Struthio camelus: one gene and its partner. The protein of the gene in region 2 interacts with the protein of the main gene of each other region in a biochemical or structural test. Links are inferred from orthologs where the notes say so. Each region holds a gene or a part of one and is shown on either strand. Other genes may lie near its edges.

Region 1 (7,498 bases), on a different chromosome or scaffold from region 2:
AGCAATACTGATATTTAAGTGTATGCATTCCTAAGTCATTTACACAACTCTAGCATCATGTGACAACTTTTAACATAGAATATCCATAGTACTTATTGTAAAGTGTAAATACACCTCTCATCTAACCGAAACCTGCCCAGATGATTAAGAATAGATATTACAAAAGCCAGCATCCCCCAAAGCTCCTTTTACAAGAGTGAGGAAAACTCACTGAGAGGGAAAGACAGAACGTGATTTAAGTGTGTTCTGGATTGTTGTTTTTAAAATCTCACATATCTTAATTAACAAAAGAGCTGCTCTTCTAGTACAAGTTAAACACTCCCCCTCTCTCTAAGGCTCTGTTCACAGAGTCTTCTACCAGCATACATGATATTATCTGGCCATTCAGCAAGCAGACAAGAAGACACAGCCCCATGAAGGTAATCCCAAACTCAAGCAAAGGTAGCTCTCACAGGGGCATGTTAACTCAGGTCTTTACTTCACTGAAATAACACAGCTTCCTACCATTTCAGAGCATAGACTCCTTTCACTTATGTCTACCTGAAAAAGGCTGCATAGCCATTCCCTGAGTCACCATTTAAGCCTAGATTTAAACCTCTGTGATTCCTTCAAGTGAGCTTGGAAGCACCTCATTGTATAAACATATAAATGAAGTCATAAGCTACAGAGCTTCAGTACTGGGAACATAAAAATCTTGGGTAAATTATAGTGTCATTTCTCCTTTTATACAGAGTCTGAGGTTATTAAATCCAATGATCCACAGGAGACTTCGGACAACACTAGTATTTTTCTTGTATTTAGAAGGCAAAGCTTGCCTGCTCATAAAAAAAGCTTTTAAACAGCATAACTTTTGAAGCTTAAATATAGTTTCAAGTTTTGAAGAACTGCATCATGTATTTCAAAGAATCCACTACAGCAGCTACCTTATAACATTTTTCTAGATATACAGCAACACCTACTGGCATGTTAAAATAAAAAAAAAAAAAAAAAGCCAGGCTCCAGATTTTGTCTCATTCACCATAGCATTCCAGAACACATTTCTCACCCTGTGAAACAGATCCTAATGATAAGAGCTGAGAAAGCTTGACAGGTACATTTCAGGACTACAGCTTCTCCTACTTGAGATCAAAAAGGAGAGTCACATTTAAGACATTTGTAGGTTGCATGCAAAATCAGTTTTGACAGGCATTTTTAAGCAAGTTTGACGAATAACATTGTTACTAAAATCATAAAAACATGTATTCAAACTGCCCAATAAGATATGGCAACTAACACCACATTTTAACTGATCAATATTGTTAAGTATTTACTGCAGCTTTTGTTCCACTGCCAGATCCAAAAGTACTCTGATTTGCTCTCTAATATTAGCTCTGTACTCTAGTTTGCTCTCTAATGTCTCAGACTTTATGTCTGAGACTTTTTCCATATAAAGCTTTTTCCTATGATGTTTTTGGGGTAATTGTCTAAAGGTCGTCAATCACCATTATTTACTGATAATTTCTCATCATAAAGAGTGTAGGATGGAGCTGTTTACCTCTATTGTAGGGTCATATTCATCCACAAAGTGATTTTGAATTAGCTGTATCGTCAAGGCGCTCTTGCCTACACCACCAGCTCCAACGACAACAAGCTTATATTCTGTCATTTTTTAGCAGACCTGATGACAAAGAAACCAACATTAAGCAGAAAGGGTCAAGCTCCAACAAAAGAGAATGCTGTTACTGCATTTTCATTCACTATCGTATTCCTTTACTATTGCAGGGAAGCAAATTCTCCCTCTTCCAAAAAAAAAAAAAAATCAGAAAAACAAACAAAAAGCCACATGTGCACACACACACTCAAAGGCTAAGAGGGGATGCTACTTTTCAAAAAAAAAAAAAATTCTTAATAACTGTGGCGCATACATGAAGCTGAAAGGCAGCGATTACAAAAAGCTGCCTAAAAAAAAAAAAACCTATAAAGTTACATTAATTTCTGAAAAGTGGTTAAAGAGTATTTTCTGTAGAATAAAGGCTTCATTTTCTGCTCGGTTTCCCTTCTGAAGTTCCACGAATTCTGGCAGACTTCCCTGATTTTTTTTTTTTTTAAATTTTTTTTAAATCGGAACCGACCAGCACTGAGCACCCCTGCCGATCTGTCCCCGCGGCCACCCCAAAGACGGGAACACGAGTACTTTAAAGGCCGGGCCGGGCGGGCTCACCTGACGAGCTGCCCTCCGCGGACGCGTCCCCCCACCGGGGCCGGGTCGGGCCGGGCCGGGCCAGCAGGGGCCGCCCGCCGCCCTCCTGCCCGCCTGGGGGCCGCCCCACCACGGTTCCCCTCTCGGAGCGAGGCGACGCGGCCGAGGCGGCCAAAACTTTCCGCGCCGCCGGCGCACGGGATTTTCAGGATTTTGAGTGGGGGGAAGGAAACGAGTAGGAAAGAGGGAGGGGTTTCGCGGGCGGCGGTTGACTGAGCAGAGGCAGCCGGTGCCGGGGCTCCCGGAGGGCGTTGGCCACCTGTCCCGCCGCCCCCTCCTCCCGCACCGCGGGGAAGGGAAGCGGCGCGGGGGAGGCGCGGGCTGCCGGAGGTGGGGGGGGGGGGGACGCGGGGCGGCGGCGATGCCGGCGGGGGAAGGAAGCGGCGCAGGGCGCAGCCCCCGCGGCGGCGGCGGCGGGACACGCGCGGGGAGGCGGCGCGGCGGCCCCCGCCCGGCTCTGCCCTCGCAGAGGTGGGCGGCGCTGGGGGAGGGGGTCGCGCCGGGGCGAGCATCTCCGGCCGTGGGGGGCGGGGGAGGGGGTGCCCGGCTCCGGTAAACCGCCGCCGACTTCCCCCTGCCCCACCTTGGGGGAAAGCGGGGGGGGGAGGGGGAGGAAGCAGCGAGCGGGGCGGCTAAGGCGGTGAAAGGAGGGGGATAGGCGGTACCTGCCTGGCGCTGTGCGGGCCGCGGGAGCACGCCGGTGTGCCCGTGCCCGTGCCCCTGCCCGCCCCGCCGCGGCGGACCGCTCCGCGTCCCTCTCCGTCCCGGTCTGAAATGGCGGGGGACGGGGAGGGCTGGGGCTGGGAGCTGCCGAGGGAGCCGAGCGCCGAGTGGGTGGATGGATGCGATCGACGCGCTCGGCGCTCCCCCGCCCCTGCGGCAGCCGAGGGAGGAGAAGGGGAAGGGGAGCTCCCCGCCCACTGACTCAGGCGGGGCGGGGAGGCAGGGAGGGAGGGGTGCGGCAACGGTCACTCGCGCGGGTGGCAACGGTCACTCGCGCGGCGGCGGCGACGGAGGAGGGGGGAGGCGCCGCGTAGGGGAGGGAAATAAGCGTAATTTCAGTGTTTGCTGCTTCCTCGCGGCGGGGGCACGCGGACCGTCAGCCTGCCGGGCAGGCAGCGGCGGCCCGGGCCGCCTCCCCAGCCGTCCCAACGGCCGCGGCCCTGCCCTCAGCCCAAAGGCACCCGCTGCCGCATCGCTCGGGGCGTAGGAAGAGGGGCTTTAGTGCCCCCGTAAGGCTTTATACCGGTTCCTAGTCAGGAGGCTGCGCTGGCTGTTTGGCAAGGTGGAGCGTGAGAGGCTCCCTGTGTAAACAAGAAGAATAGGGTTTATCCTTACGGGTCAAGAAAAGGTCACAAAAGCAGAAATGCAGAATTACCGTAAAACTTAAATGCCCATTGCAGTTTTAATAATTTCGGTATTAAGGTTAATAATTTTCACAATTAAACAAAAGGCTTTTATTAATTGCCTGGGTGCTCTGCACAACAGTTAATCAGCGTACTATTAGAGGCAAGGTAACAATTGTACCGCAAAGCCTACTTTCTCATTAAAAGGCCAAAAACTCAGTTCCCTCTAATTGGGTATACTGCATAGGTCATTTCTAAGCTTGTGTTATATGGTCATAAGTGCTATGAAATTTTTTGAAATATTTATGTCATCAGGTCTAAGAATCCAAGCTTATTCCTAGGGTAACTCCAGTGATGTCGACTGGATTACACCAGGGATTAGTTTGGCCAGTTCTGTTTTCCCTCTTAAATTGGAAAGTCAAAAATAAATATATTGTGTCTACACATCTGGTGTTCAAGAGTTTTAATTTCAAAGGCTGGAGCTTTGTTCTCCATAATTGTGTGTGACAGAACTTGCAGCTTCTTTCATTCTCAGTGTGCATCCAAGGCACTGCGCTTTTGGGCAGCATCCATCTGAGCATGTAAGGCATTAACCCTTTGGGACAATGCCATCTAATTTAAAAGCTGTGTTCCTGTGATTAATTCATGCAAATAAGCCAAAGACCCTGTGTTGCTGTTCAATGCTACTCCCTGATGCTCAGGTATGAAGACCCGGGTGGAAAACAAACATGTTTTTGAGCAGCTGTGTGAAAATATCTCTTCAAACAGAGCCTAGGAAAGATCAGAGGAGCTCTTTTCCTTGTATTCTTGAAGCCAGTCTTTTCTGTCACTGAAATCAGTGACACAAGTCCTACGGACTGCTATGGGAGCTTGGAGCTTGTGTAAGGATTCTTATATGCAACAGGAGGCTATATATTGTCATGAAATGCAAAAAAAAAAAAAAAAAAGAATTTGGAAAGCTTTTATCCTCTCCCAGTGATTTGAGTGTTAGTGACCTGGTCCTTTTTGTGTTAAATGCTCTTACTAGATTTTTTTATTAAGGCTGATGAGAAACAAAGTCACAAAAAGGCACATAAGTGTAGCATGCAAAATCATCTCACAAATCAGAATTAAAGCTGAATGATACAGATAGCTCACTTCATAAGCAATCTCACATGAGCAGTTGCCAAAACCAGAAGAAAGCCCCACTTTCAAAGAACGAGTAGCCGGGTGGTAAAACCACAAGCTTGGGATGTGGGAAACCCACATTCCAATCTGTGGTGTGAAACAGGCAAAGAAAGGATTTGAATGCGGATGTTCAGCAACCGAGGTAAATGCCTTGATCAGCTGTTTTAGGATAGCAGGATCTCACTTTTGTGTTATACCCCCTTAGGAAAACTACTTGAAGTGTTGTGGTTCATCATAAGGCAATGGGAAAATGCCTGTGTAACAGGAAAGCTTGCCCAGTTCTGCACTTAGTACTGGTGTTGCACAAACAACTTCAATGGTTTGCTCTGATCTACAGAGCTTTGTATGGGTAGAAGCTGTTCATCCTTAAACCCACACAGTCACAGTTGGAATCAGAAAAGTATCCAGAGAGACTTGGGTGGATCCTTCTCTGTGAAAACTTCAGGTCTTGATTACAGCTTGAATTTCCATGTTTTGTACTATCTCAGTGAAATACAAAAACTATCATTCTGCAAAGAGTTTGAGGGGGAAATGAATTGTTGGGAAGCTGGAAAAAGTTGAATGCAAAGCTTGTTTTTTTGTTGAATGCAGATTTGTTTCTAAATGTCTGTTATTATGAACTTGCTGTTTGTCTTAACTAAATTTCTCTTAGAAGAGATACCTGCTGGGTAAAGTGGTTTGAAAAGAAGCAGAAATAAAAGAGCTGATTGAAATATATAAAGTACCAACCTATACACTGCATTGATATGAAAGCCCTTGAAAAGTCAGCGCAAGTGATGCAAAACCTCCTAGATTTTGCTAGTGTCTCCTATGTGTTACCCACTTCATTTTAGTGATTGTTTCTACAGGGCAATTTGCACAGAGAATGCAGAACATAAGCAAAACAGACACACTTACTCAAATCCCAAAACACTTCAGGGTACTAGAGCTAAATACTTTTATTAAGTTAAAGCATATTCATAAATTCAAAGGCCTCTTCACATTTGCATTAAAATATTCCCGTCTGGATTATCTGGTCCTTCATGGATACTGATCTTCGAAGGCTCTCAGGACAAATCGCTGGTCAGAGCTCCTTATTCTGACAAGATGCTTCCCTTATGATATCAAGCACTAGACCCAAATGCAGGTATAATCCCATCAGCCACATATTCACCCTACTCAGACTTATCTAGTCCTATACTTTATACAATAAAGTCAAAGACATTTTAAATTTCAGAATATATGAGCATTTACCACCTGACTGCCAGGAATCCGGGGTGGTGGTGGAAAAGTGATACACAGCTCCAGCCTCAAGATAAACAATAAGATTTCCCTGTCTGACTATCTCTGTTAACAAGCTGAGACAGAAGTTAATTTTCCTGGTGCTTTTGCTGGCATTTAACTACATGCAAAGCAGATGCAAAGGCAATGGAGAATCACTACAGGGGGAGAAGTGGGTTTGTACAGTTTAAAGATTGCATGCCATTAATTTAAAATATTAGCATAAGAGAATTTTTCTGTCACACACAGAGAGGCCAAGGGTCTGCAGCCATTGCTACCTGTTGTCAGGTATGCTTTGTCGAATAACCACCGTTTATACATTTGGTCCCGGTCAGCACAAGCACGTGATTATATTTCAGTTCATTTAGCCAGAAACCACAATACTGGGGCTAAGGGTGGTTTCATGCTTTTAGGCTAGCAATACAACATTTTATGCCAGATTCAGCATAAAGCCTGCAAATACAAAGTGTTTACATGACGTTTTTTGAACACCTTTGACCCAACTGTGTGAGTTTATATTTTGCTCTAGTACAAGGTCCCATATGTCACCCATGAACAGCATGGGATCCATGGCATTTGGAATATATTAGCCTTCAGTCACTACCTTTTCCTTATCTCCTCCCAAGACAATTTTTAGACTTTTAAGGAAGTCCTACAGACTTAGCTATGCTGCCCTATCCTTGATAAGGCAACCTACAGAAGAATTTTTTTTTTTTTTTTTAAAGTCTTACCTAGAGCAGTGTAAATGCCCTTACCAATTTGTGTCTATTGACACAGCAGAACACAGCCTTATTCCCCAGACTTTTAATTCACTAACTCTAGTCAAGGCAGGGTCTAGAAGAGAGAGATGGTAATGAACTCCATGTTGGGAAGAATACAATGAACTTAAATACAGGAACATTTGTATCCATTGATAGATAGATTGATAAATGTAATTTTAAATGTTATTTTATGTTAAAATCAAAGCAATACTTTTCATGTGTGTTTAATTTTGGTCTTCCATCAAATTTCCTTTGGTGGTATGGCTCTCTTTAGTAATTTTACATTTACAGATTGAAGTCTAGCATATACGGACTCACATGGCATATGAACATAGCATACATAGACGCACACCTTATGTGAACATTTTTTTCCTTGTTGCTGTCTGCAATTCCTTTTAAAATTAGGTAATGGACCCCAAGAAATCCACAGGCCTTAAACTGAAAATTACTTTCAAATGCTTAGCCATATAAAGTACAAAACAAGGTTCTACTCCTTTAGCTTGAATGGCAGCTAAGCTGCCCTCTACACAGCTTAAACAGGAGACTAGTGCAAGGCCATTCAAATCTTTTTTTTTTTTTTCCATGTAGACTCCAAGGAACCAGGCTTAATATATTTTTCTTCAATAACAGTAGATTTGGCTTGAAAGTAATGCGTTAAGATACAGCATGTTACCGGTATTCATAAATGGTTTGACTTTTGGTTTAATTCAGCTGTCTCTGACTTT
Region 2 (7,678 bases):
TACTGTGCATGATCATAAGAAACTTCTCATCTTCACCAAGATAGAAAAAAAAAAATGCCTGTGCAGAACTGATTCTTCCCCAAGGGACTGATAGCAACAGTGAAGAACTTGCCATCTGGAACAAAGCACCAGAATTCTCCCTAACTTCTCAGCACCACTCACTTCCAGTCTTTTCTTATCCAAAATCTCATCTGCCTTAGAAGCAAACAAGTCTGTCATCTCAGTGCAATATCCCACCAGAAGTGCCACATGTTTTCAGAGGAAAAGCTGGCATATTGTTTTCAGTTCCATCATAGGACTTCACAGAAAAACCCTGCTTTTTTCCTCAAAGCTTGTAGCAACATCAGAAGGCCTGTGGCATATTGGAAAATGCTCACTTGCCAAATCCAAAGATCACTTAGCATCCTCGCAATCAAGCAGGTGATCAGTTTATGCATCCTCAAACATTCCGAGTCACCAGCTTTTTAATGTATACTTATGTGAACATGAGCCAGTGAATTGCAAAGGTCTACAATGCTCATCAATAAGCTAGGCTTCGCAAAGCTCTAGTTATGTGTTTAAAACACTTGGAATAGGAAAACATCTCTACGGAAGTGAAAAGTGAGTGACTGGGATGTTACAAAAGGGACCAAGGAGAGAGTGATGCCGTTACTTACCGCGCATTGCCATCATATCCTGCAAAGATCCACAGCTTGTCGCTATACACTGTTGCACCATGAGCTGACCTCGCAACTGGCAATCTGCAATTGAGGAGATTTAAAAATAATTAAAAAAAAAAATCTTAACTGACCAGGAAAGGTGCTATAAGGATCTGCATCATAGCTAAAACACACATTTCACAAGAATAAAAGCTCCCTATATTAAATGCCTTCAAGCTAGGAAATTGCTACTGTCATACACTGTCAAAGCACACAAGAAGAAGCCCTTGTCCAGGGCTGCAGAACTTTACACTCTGCTTCCTTCATGAGAAAAAATTATCTCAAAAAACCAAAAAAAATCCAATGAATTCCTTGCCAATCTTCAAACGTTCTTAAGTATTTTTTGAAAGCTGGCTAAATTGTAGAGGACAATATCATTGTCATTATGGCGAAGTGGCAATTTACATGCGATAAAATAATCCTACGTGTATTTTCACCTACTAAGAAGGTGGAATGCATAAATGAGATCAGGGTCAGAGCTCACAATATATTTTTGGGATCGTTTAGTCATAGCATTCATGAGATACAGTGCCACAATAAAAAATCAATCCTATGATTTCTTCTCCCTAATTTGTGTTGTTTTTACCAAATCAATCAAGAAGTGCTGTACAAAACTGTGACGCCACAAGTCCAGGAGACATAACGTTAGCTTGTTTGAGAAGGTAGTGGTCATTTATGCAGTATGCAGACCTGCAGCTGCGGGGAAAAGCACAGCTTTTAAATGTGCTGAATTTTTAAATGTTCTTATTGATTCTTTACAATCAATGTAAAGGACTGTGCACAGTCCTAGCACTTTAATACTAACAGTGTAACTATTTGTAACTATGTGCTACTGTAAGTACTTGCTGAGTAACACCCAAGTCCCCTTGAAGAGCGGGGCAATGATGCCAGCTCCTTACCTGCCTTCAGTCTTCCACTCTGTCCATTGTCCAGTTGCAAATTTATATTCAAAAAGATCGTTTTTATTCTTCAAGTTGGAATTGGAATAAATGTCTCCAGTATAGCCACCTGGGCAATAACAATTTTATTAGACTATTTCAAGAGAGCATATATACTTGTAGTCAATATATTAGAAGAAATTTAAGTTTACGTCACTCAAACAAAAGTTATTTGACTGCTGGAACGCTAAACATGGGAGGCTTGTCCTCCAACCTTACTTCTATCCCTAAAGAAATGCTACGGCACTGAGCTTCAAGTTTTCTTTACCTTAGACAAAAGAGTAAAGCTATTTCAAAGCTAAGGTCCAAATCACAGTCAACCACGAAAAACACCAGCTTTCCTATTGAATGAGATCCTCTTGACGCTCTGTAGGAAACACCTTGCTCTGTTTTAAGAGAGGACAGACACATCTATCGTCCCAAGGGCACGCAGCTGTAACCTGCCGCTGTCTTACCAAACACAAACATGCTGCTCCCATAGACCACAGCCGAATGGTGGTATCGCGGTGCTGGCGGCGTCCCCGTGGTAAAAGCCCTGTGCAACAGTTAGAACAGTGGCAATCAAACAACACTGTCGCGCTTCGGGCATTCAAAGCTGCTGTGCGGGTTCAACGCGGAAACAGGCGTTAAGAGTTATTCTACCGGTCGCGAGGGGGCATTTTCACTCTTTTTGGTTTAACTACGTGACCTAAGATCTGGTGCTAGACTAAGAGTGGTAAATAAAAGCTGCATGCTGGGGCCGGGGGGCTCGCCCTCCGCGAGGGGCTGTGCAGAGCCCCCAGCCGTTACACCCAGCATAACGGCGCCGCGGGGGGACGAGGCGTCTCGCAGCCGCGCGGGGCGGCAGAGGGCCGGGGCGCAGCGCGGCCCACCTGCACCAGGAGCAGTCCTTCACGTCGAAGCGCAGCAGGTCGTTCAGCATCGTCTTCCTGCGGGAGGGACGGGAGAGGCGGCTGAGGGGGGGGGGGGCGGCGCGGCGGCCCCGGCGGCCCCGCTCCCCTCGGCCCCGCCGCGGCCTTACCCGTTGTCGCCGCCGAAGACGTAGATGGCGTCCCGGTAGGCCACCACGGTGTGCTTGCTGCGCCTGCGGGCGGCAGAGAGCGGCGGTCAGGAGCCGCCGGGACCCACCACCACCCCCCGCCGCCGCCGCCGCCGCCGCCGCTCACCGGGCCCCCACGAACTCGTCGCAGGGCGGGAGGCGGCGCCACCGGTGCACCGTCTCGAAGGGCCCGAAGTTGAGGGTGAGGTACTCGACGCTGTCCGAGCAGCTGTGGTCGAAGTCCACGCTCGGCGCCACCTTGGAGCGCCCCGCGCCGCCCGACGGCGCCCCGGCCGCCGCCATGGCCCGCGCCAGCCCCGCCGCCGCGCACCAACCGGCGAGCCCGCCCGCCGCGGGACTACAGCTCCCGGCGTGCCCCGCGACTACAGCGCCCGGCTTGGCTCGTCCTCCCGCCGCGGGACTACAGCTCCCGGCGTGCCCCGCGACTACAGCGCCCGGCTTGGCTCGTCCTCCCGCCGCGGGACTACAGCTCCCGGCGTGCCCCGCGACTACAGCGCCCGGCTTGGCTCGTCCTCCCGCCGCGGGACTACAGCTCCCGGCGTGCCCCGCGACTACAGCGCCCGGCTTGGCTCTACCGCCCGCCCCGCGGCTACAGCGCCTGGCACGGCCGTTCCCTCCGCCGCGGGACTACAGCTCCCGGCGTGCCCCGCTCCGGGGCGGGGGGCGCACCTAGGCAGCACGTAGCGGCGGGTTCAAGTCCCACGCCCGCAGGACCAAGGGTGGGCAGGTGGGTGGACCCGCAGCGCTCCAGCCTGCTCCTGGCACGGCAGGGAAGGAGCCGCACGCACCTTGCCAGCTTCTCAAGGGGTCCCGAAAGTCATTTTCCTCATTCAGTCCAGCAGCCTGGGCTCCACAGGGGCCAGAAGGCCACCCAGGCCTGCTCTGGTGCCCTATAGCAACCCCACGCCGCAGGCGGGATTCATGCGAGGTGGCCGCACGCACAGGCGGCGCAGTCACAGTGCCCAGCTGCTGGCCCAGCTTTGGAGAACAAGGGCCTAAAACACCTTAACCAGCTCTGTGCGCTGCAAGAGTCAAACCCCAAAGAGGCAAAACACCCTTCGAAGCAGGGCGTCAGGCCTGGCCCGGCCCGGGATGCCAGATTGGCGCAGCTGAGGGTGCTCTCCCTCCTCGTTACCAATCTCTGTAAGACTCGGAGGCAAGGCACGCTTATACATTAAAAGATTTTATTAATACAAAAAAATACCAAGAACAATACTCATGAATAGGCGTAAAGTCTCCATCCAGAGTCACAGCTGATTGAGTCACTATTTAAATTATATTCTGTGGCTATCGGACCTTCATGCTATTCTAGCAAGATAAAACCCAGTGTGCAAAAACACAATTGGCATCTCCTCCGCGAGGAGCTTTGACAAGGATGCAAAAGTGCCAGGCACTGATTTCGGAAGTGGCAAAGGCTCATGGATGTCCAGTAGTAGCCTCAGTCCCATCCTTCTTTTTAACTAAGTATAAAAGGGAGCTTGGTTTTCATAACATGGAGTTAGTAACCTTTAGTGAGGGTTAGTTTAGTTTCTTTTCACAGTACACAAGTAAAATGGGCATTCCACATCTCAACACTAGACCTTAGACAGCTTTCCAGACATTTCACCGTATTTCATCCTGAGCAATTACCTCACGCTACTGGCTCAGATTTATTTCAGCAAAGCCGATGACCCTCCAGTCATCACTTGTTTAAAGATATATAGTGTCACATTCTGAGAATTTTTAAAGGGAGGAAGAGAACACAGGGAAAGCAGAAGGCAAAGGAGTAACATCAGTACAGGCACCCATGGGACCACTTAAGGCTCTTTCAACCATCTCCATCATGCACTGTAGCTCTCATCCTTTATTCAGCCTCTCTCCTATGGGAAGCTCAAGTCAGTATATTTCTTGCCTGAAAGCGTCCTGCACGCTGTGAGTTTGCTTGCAGTGGAGCACCCGCTGTAGACAAACTAGGCTGTTCCTGTTCCCCTTGACCCACAACACGCAGACAGGCCCAGGATCATCTCAAAGGCTGCTCCCAAACTGAATTTTAAATCAGCACTCTTGCATAGTGGCACTGCACTTGGTCAGCTCATTCTGCTGGAAGGGGCCCAGGTGGGTGCACATGAACCAAATGCAACAGGAAGGACAGTGCAGAGCACTAGTTCCCAAAGAGCCACCATTTCCCCCCCCCACTCCTTCCCATCTCACTGGTTGCACTCCTGGAAAGAGCAAGCCCTTGATACCTGCAAATCAAAGAGCAGCTTCTAACCAATGCACTGAAGAGCTCCGATAGGAACTCTGTAAGAAACTGCCCATCACTTACTCACGGGACCCTGCAAATCCAAAGAAATCCTTAGATACAACTCAGGATGAGGAATGGTGCTAAGCTGCACCCATTTTTCATGTTTTTGCTTAAACTCGTCATCCAACTTGATGCACCTTAAGGGTGCATAAAGCAAGTACAGTTAAGGCACACGAGTCAACTTCCAACTGAAAGCACATGAACCCTACCAGCCCCTCTCCACAAAGCCCTAACGAGCCAGACAAGTATGTGGTCCATTTCTTACCGATGCCTAAAGCACATCCAGGTGCTTTCAAGTGTTAGGTATCCACTTACCTCAAACAATGAATGACTATTTTCAAGTTCTGCTGTCAGTTCCTGGGGTAAAGTATTTGATAGCCCTTCTTAATTTTGTAACTTGCAATGAAAATTTAGATTTGGTCTTCACTCTTCTGTTCCATTGACTTACAAACTGTTTTCATGCAGTACAGGCCCATTCCGATATTCAGGGGAGGAATGTCAGCTAGCAAACATGGTCCTGTCTCTTCTCTCAGCTGGGACTGGTCACTCAGTTGATCCTTTTGTACAGCTATCAGGCACTGCAGCCATCTATTTCTCAGTTTCCTCATGAGACTGCACTGCTTAGTTTAACTTGTCAGCCCATTTCAATGAAAGCTATGAGACACACGTACCTCGAACAAAATTCCTAGAAGACTTGGCGGGGAGGGGGAGACTAGAGAGGAGACAGAGCCACAGCAGAGCGCACACTGAAGGGAAGGCCATGGCACAAAATTGAATTAGTTTTATACACCAGAGAACCGACAGGGAAGAAAAATTGAGACTCAACTGCATGGAAACTTTCCAGAGCTCATACCTTTAGAATTAGACACAGACTAATCCAAAGCCACAAAAAATAAAATCAGGCTTCATAAATTCTACTTGCCATGGAGTTATTCATAGAAAACTACTGAGAAATCAAAGATGGGACAGATCAATCTACAGGCATGTAGCAAGACGTGTGGGATTCCCTCTATTTCTGCTTGTTCTTAGGCACAACATGAGGGCTTTAGGCATGAGAGGGGAAGCAATGTCAGCTTTAGAATTTAGTGTTATTTTACCATTATCCCACATATGCTAAACAAATTGTGTTGTGCCATCTTTGTTCATTTAAAAAAAGTAATTCATCACCCCCTGCTGGTAAGAAAAGTGAAAAGCCATACGGTAAATTAGACCAGTAAGATGCATACATATTCCAGCTCTTTGGAAGCTTTTAAATACAACTTCAAAGCATTTTATTCCACAAAGGAACAGCAAGTACCTTTCTTAAGAAAGGAAACTCTATAATGGATCACTCTTTCTTTTAAGCAGAAGATGATGTAACCATTACAGGACTCCCTTTCTGTCCAGATGACTCCTGTGAAATACCCTAACAACCTCCAGGTGGCACATATAGGAGATCTCCTAAGGAGAAATATGTCTTAAAAAGCAATTTCGGGAAACAAGTGCAATTTCCTTTCAACTCTGTCTTATAAGAAGGATACCAATGTATATTTTAATAGTTTTATTTTAATTTTCCCCAAGGGGGAACCAAAGGCAGAGAGGTGTTGTGAGATACATCACGCTGTTCTTATGGGTAAATCAATTTGTAAATGTTATTTTACCACTCTATAAAAATACACACAGGAGTGTGAAGGAAGCAAAGTAGATCAGAGTGGCTGTTATGGAGCAAATGCATTAAATATAATCAGATTTTCCCCCTAAAAATTGTGGCTCCTTGTGTTCCATAAAACCAAAGTCTTTAGTAGCCACATGCCACAGGAACAGAAATTAAGTGGTAGCTTCCTTTAAGCATGTGCACACAAAAGCATTAGTAAAGAACTGCTCCCATGGGACTAGAGAGTAGATGTGAGCAACAAAGCTCCATCCACACTAGGAAAGAAGATATGCAGTTATTTTTATTGTCTCAGCTTCCCATCCAAACTCCTGTAAACAGGTTCCATACCATTCAGGCATCTCTGATAAAAGAGTCTATAGTTCTATAAAAAGAAGTCACACTGTAAGATCCAGATATTTACCCTGTATGTGTTATGTGAGCACAAAGAGGAACAACCTTCCAATTTCAAGACACATCCAAGCAATTTGTAAGTGACCTGATTCCTTTCTCTGTCCATCTGTGCTGTGTGAAATTCAGTTTAAGTGCCTCTTGACAGGCAGAGACAGTTTGCTTTTAAAAATATTTAAGGACACATTCTTTTAAGAACTTCCTGGAACATTACTGTGGAAAATGAAAGTGCTCCCTTGGTGAGATTAATGTGCAAAGCTCTACAGACTTCCGTCTTTGCTGCTTGCTTAGTATTCCTTCCCTTAGCAGATTCATGATAAGATGAGGCTCAATACTTCGCAATGAGGCCCATCATCCACCTGTAACAAGCAGGTGGACACTGGAAAATGTTTCATGTTTAATCATAAAACGTGGAATAAGCCAGAAAAATATTGTTCAGATATGATCAGTATGGTCTCTTGATTGGGTTTATATACCAATGGCCTGTAACACTCGCTTTTCATTCTCATTGAGATGGTCTGAAAACATTGCATAGCACGGCTGCTGTGCAAACTGACACAGGAAGTCAGTGAGATAGGCCTAAAAAGAAGACAAAAAGATCAAGTTAGCATTGCTTCACTTTGGAAATTCTGTTTCTTTCGTGTATCAAAAGGTAAA

What was found.
Region 1: the proteins of LZTR1 (region 2) and KRAS form a complex in vitro, tested with the Homo sapiens proteins (2 studies listed by BioGRID, with this or other methods). The link is inferred for Struthio camelus from reciprocal best matches to the Homo sapiens genes LZTR1 and KRAS.

What each region holds. Positions count from the first base shown.
Region 1 is NC_090942.1:76,287,774-76,295,271, forward strand, and holds the start of KRAS (GTPase KRas), read right to left. Parts: upstream 3,085-7,498; 5' UTR 2,905-3,084; intron 1,658-2,904; 5' UTR 1,646-1,657; coding exon 1,535-1,645; intron 1-1,534. UniProt on the Homo sapiens protein: Ras proteins bind GDP/GTP and possess intrinsic GTPase activity. Plays an important role in the regulation of cell proliferation.
Region 2 is NC_090965.1:3,047,694-3,055,371, reverse strand, and holds the start of LZTR1 (leucine-zipper-like transcriptional regulator 1), read right to left. Parts: upstream 3,017-7,678; 5' UTR 2,979-3,016; coding exon 2,803-2,978; intron 2,721-2,802; coding exon 2,658-2,720; intron 2,566-2,657; coding exon 2,509-2,565; intron 2,172-2,508; coding exon 2,092-2,171; intron 1,707-2,091; coding exon 1,598-1,706; intron 741-1,597; coding exon 657-740; intron 1-656. Other genes in the region: IPO9 (importin-9), read right to left, coding at 7,490-7,600. UniProt on the Homo sapiens protein: Substrate-specific adapter of a BCR (BTB-CUL3-RBX1) E3 ubiquitin-protein ligase complex that mediates ubiquitination of Ras (K-Ras/KRAS, N-Ras/NRAS and H-Ras/HRAS).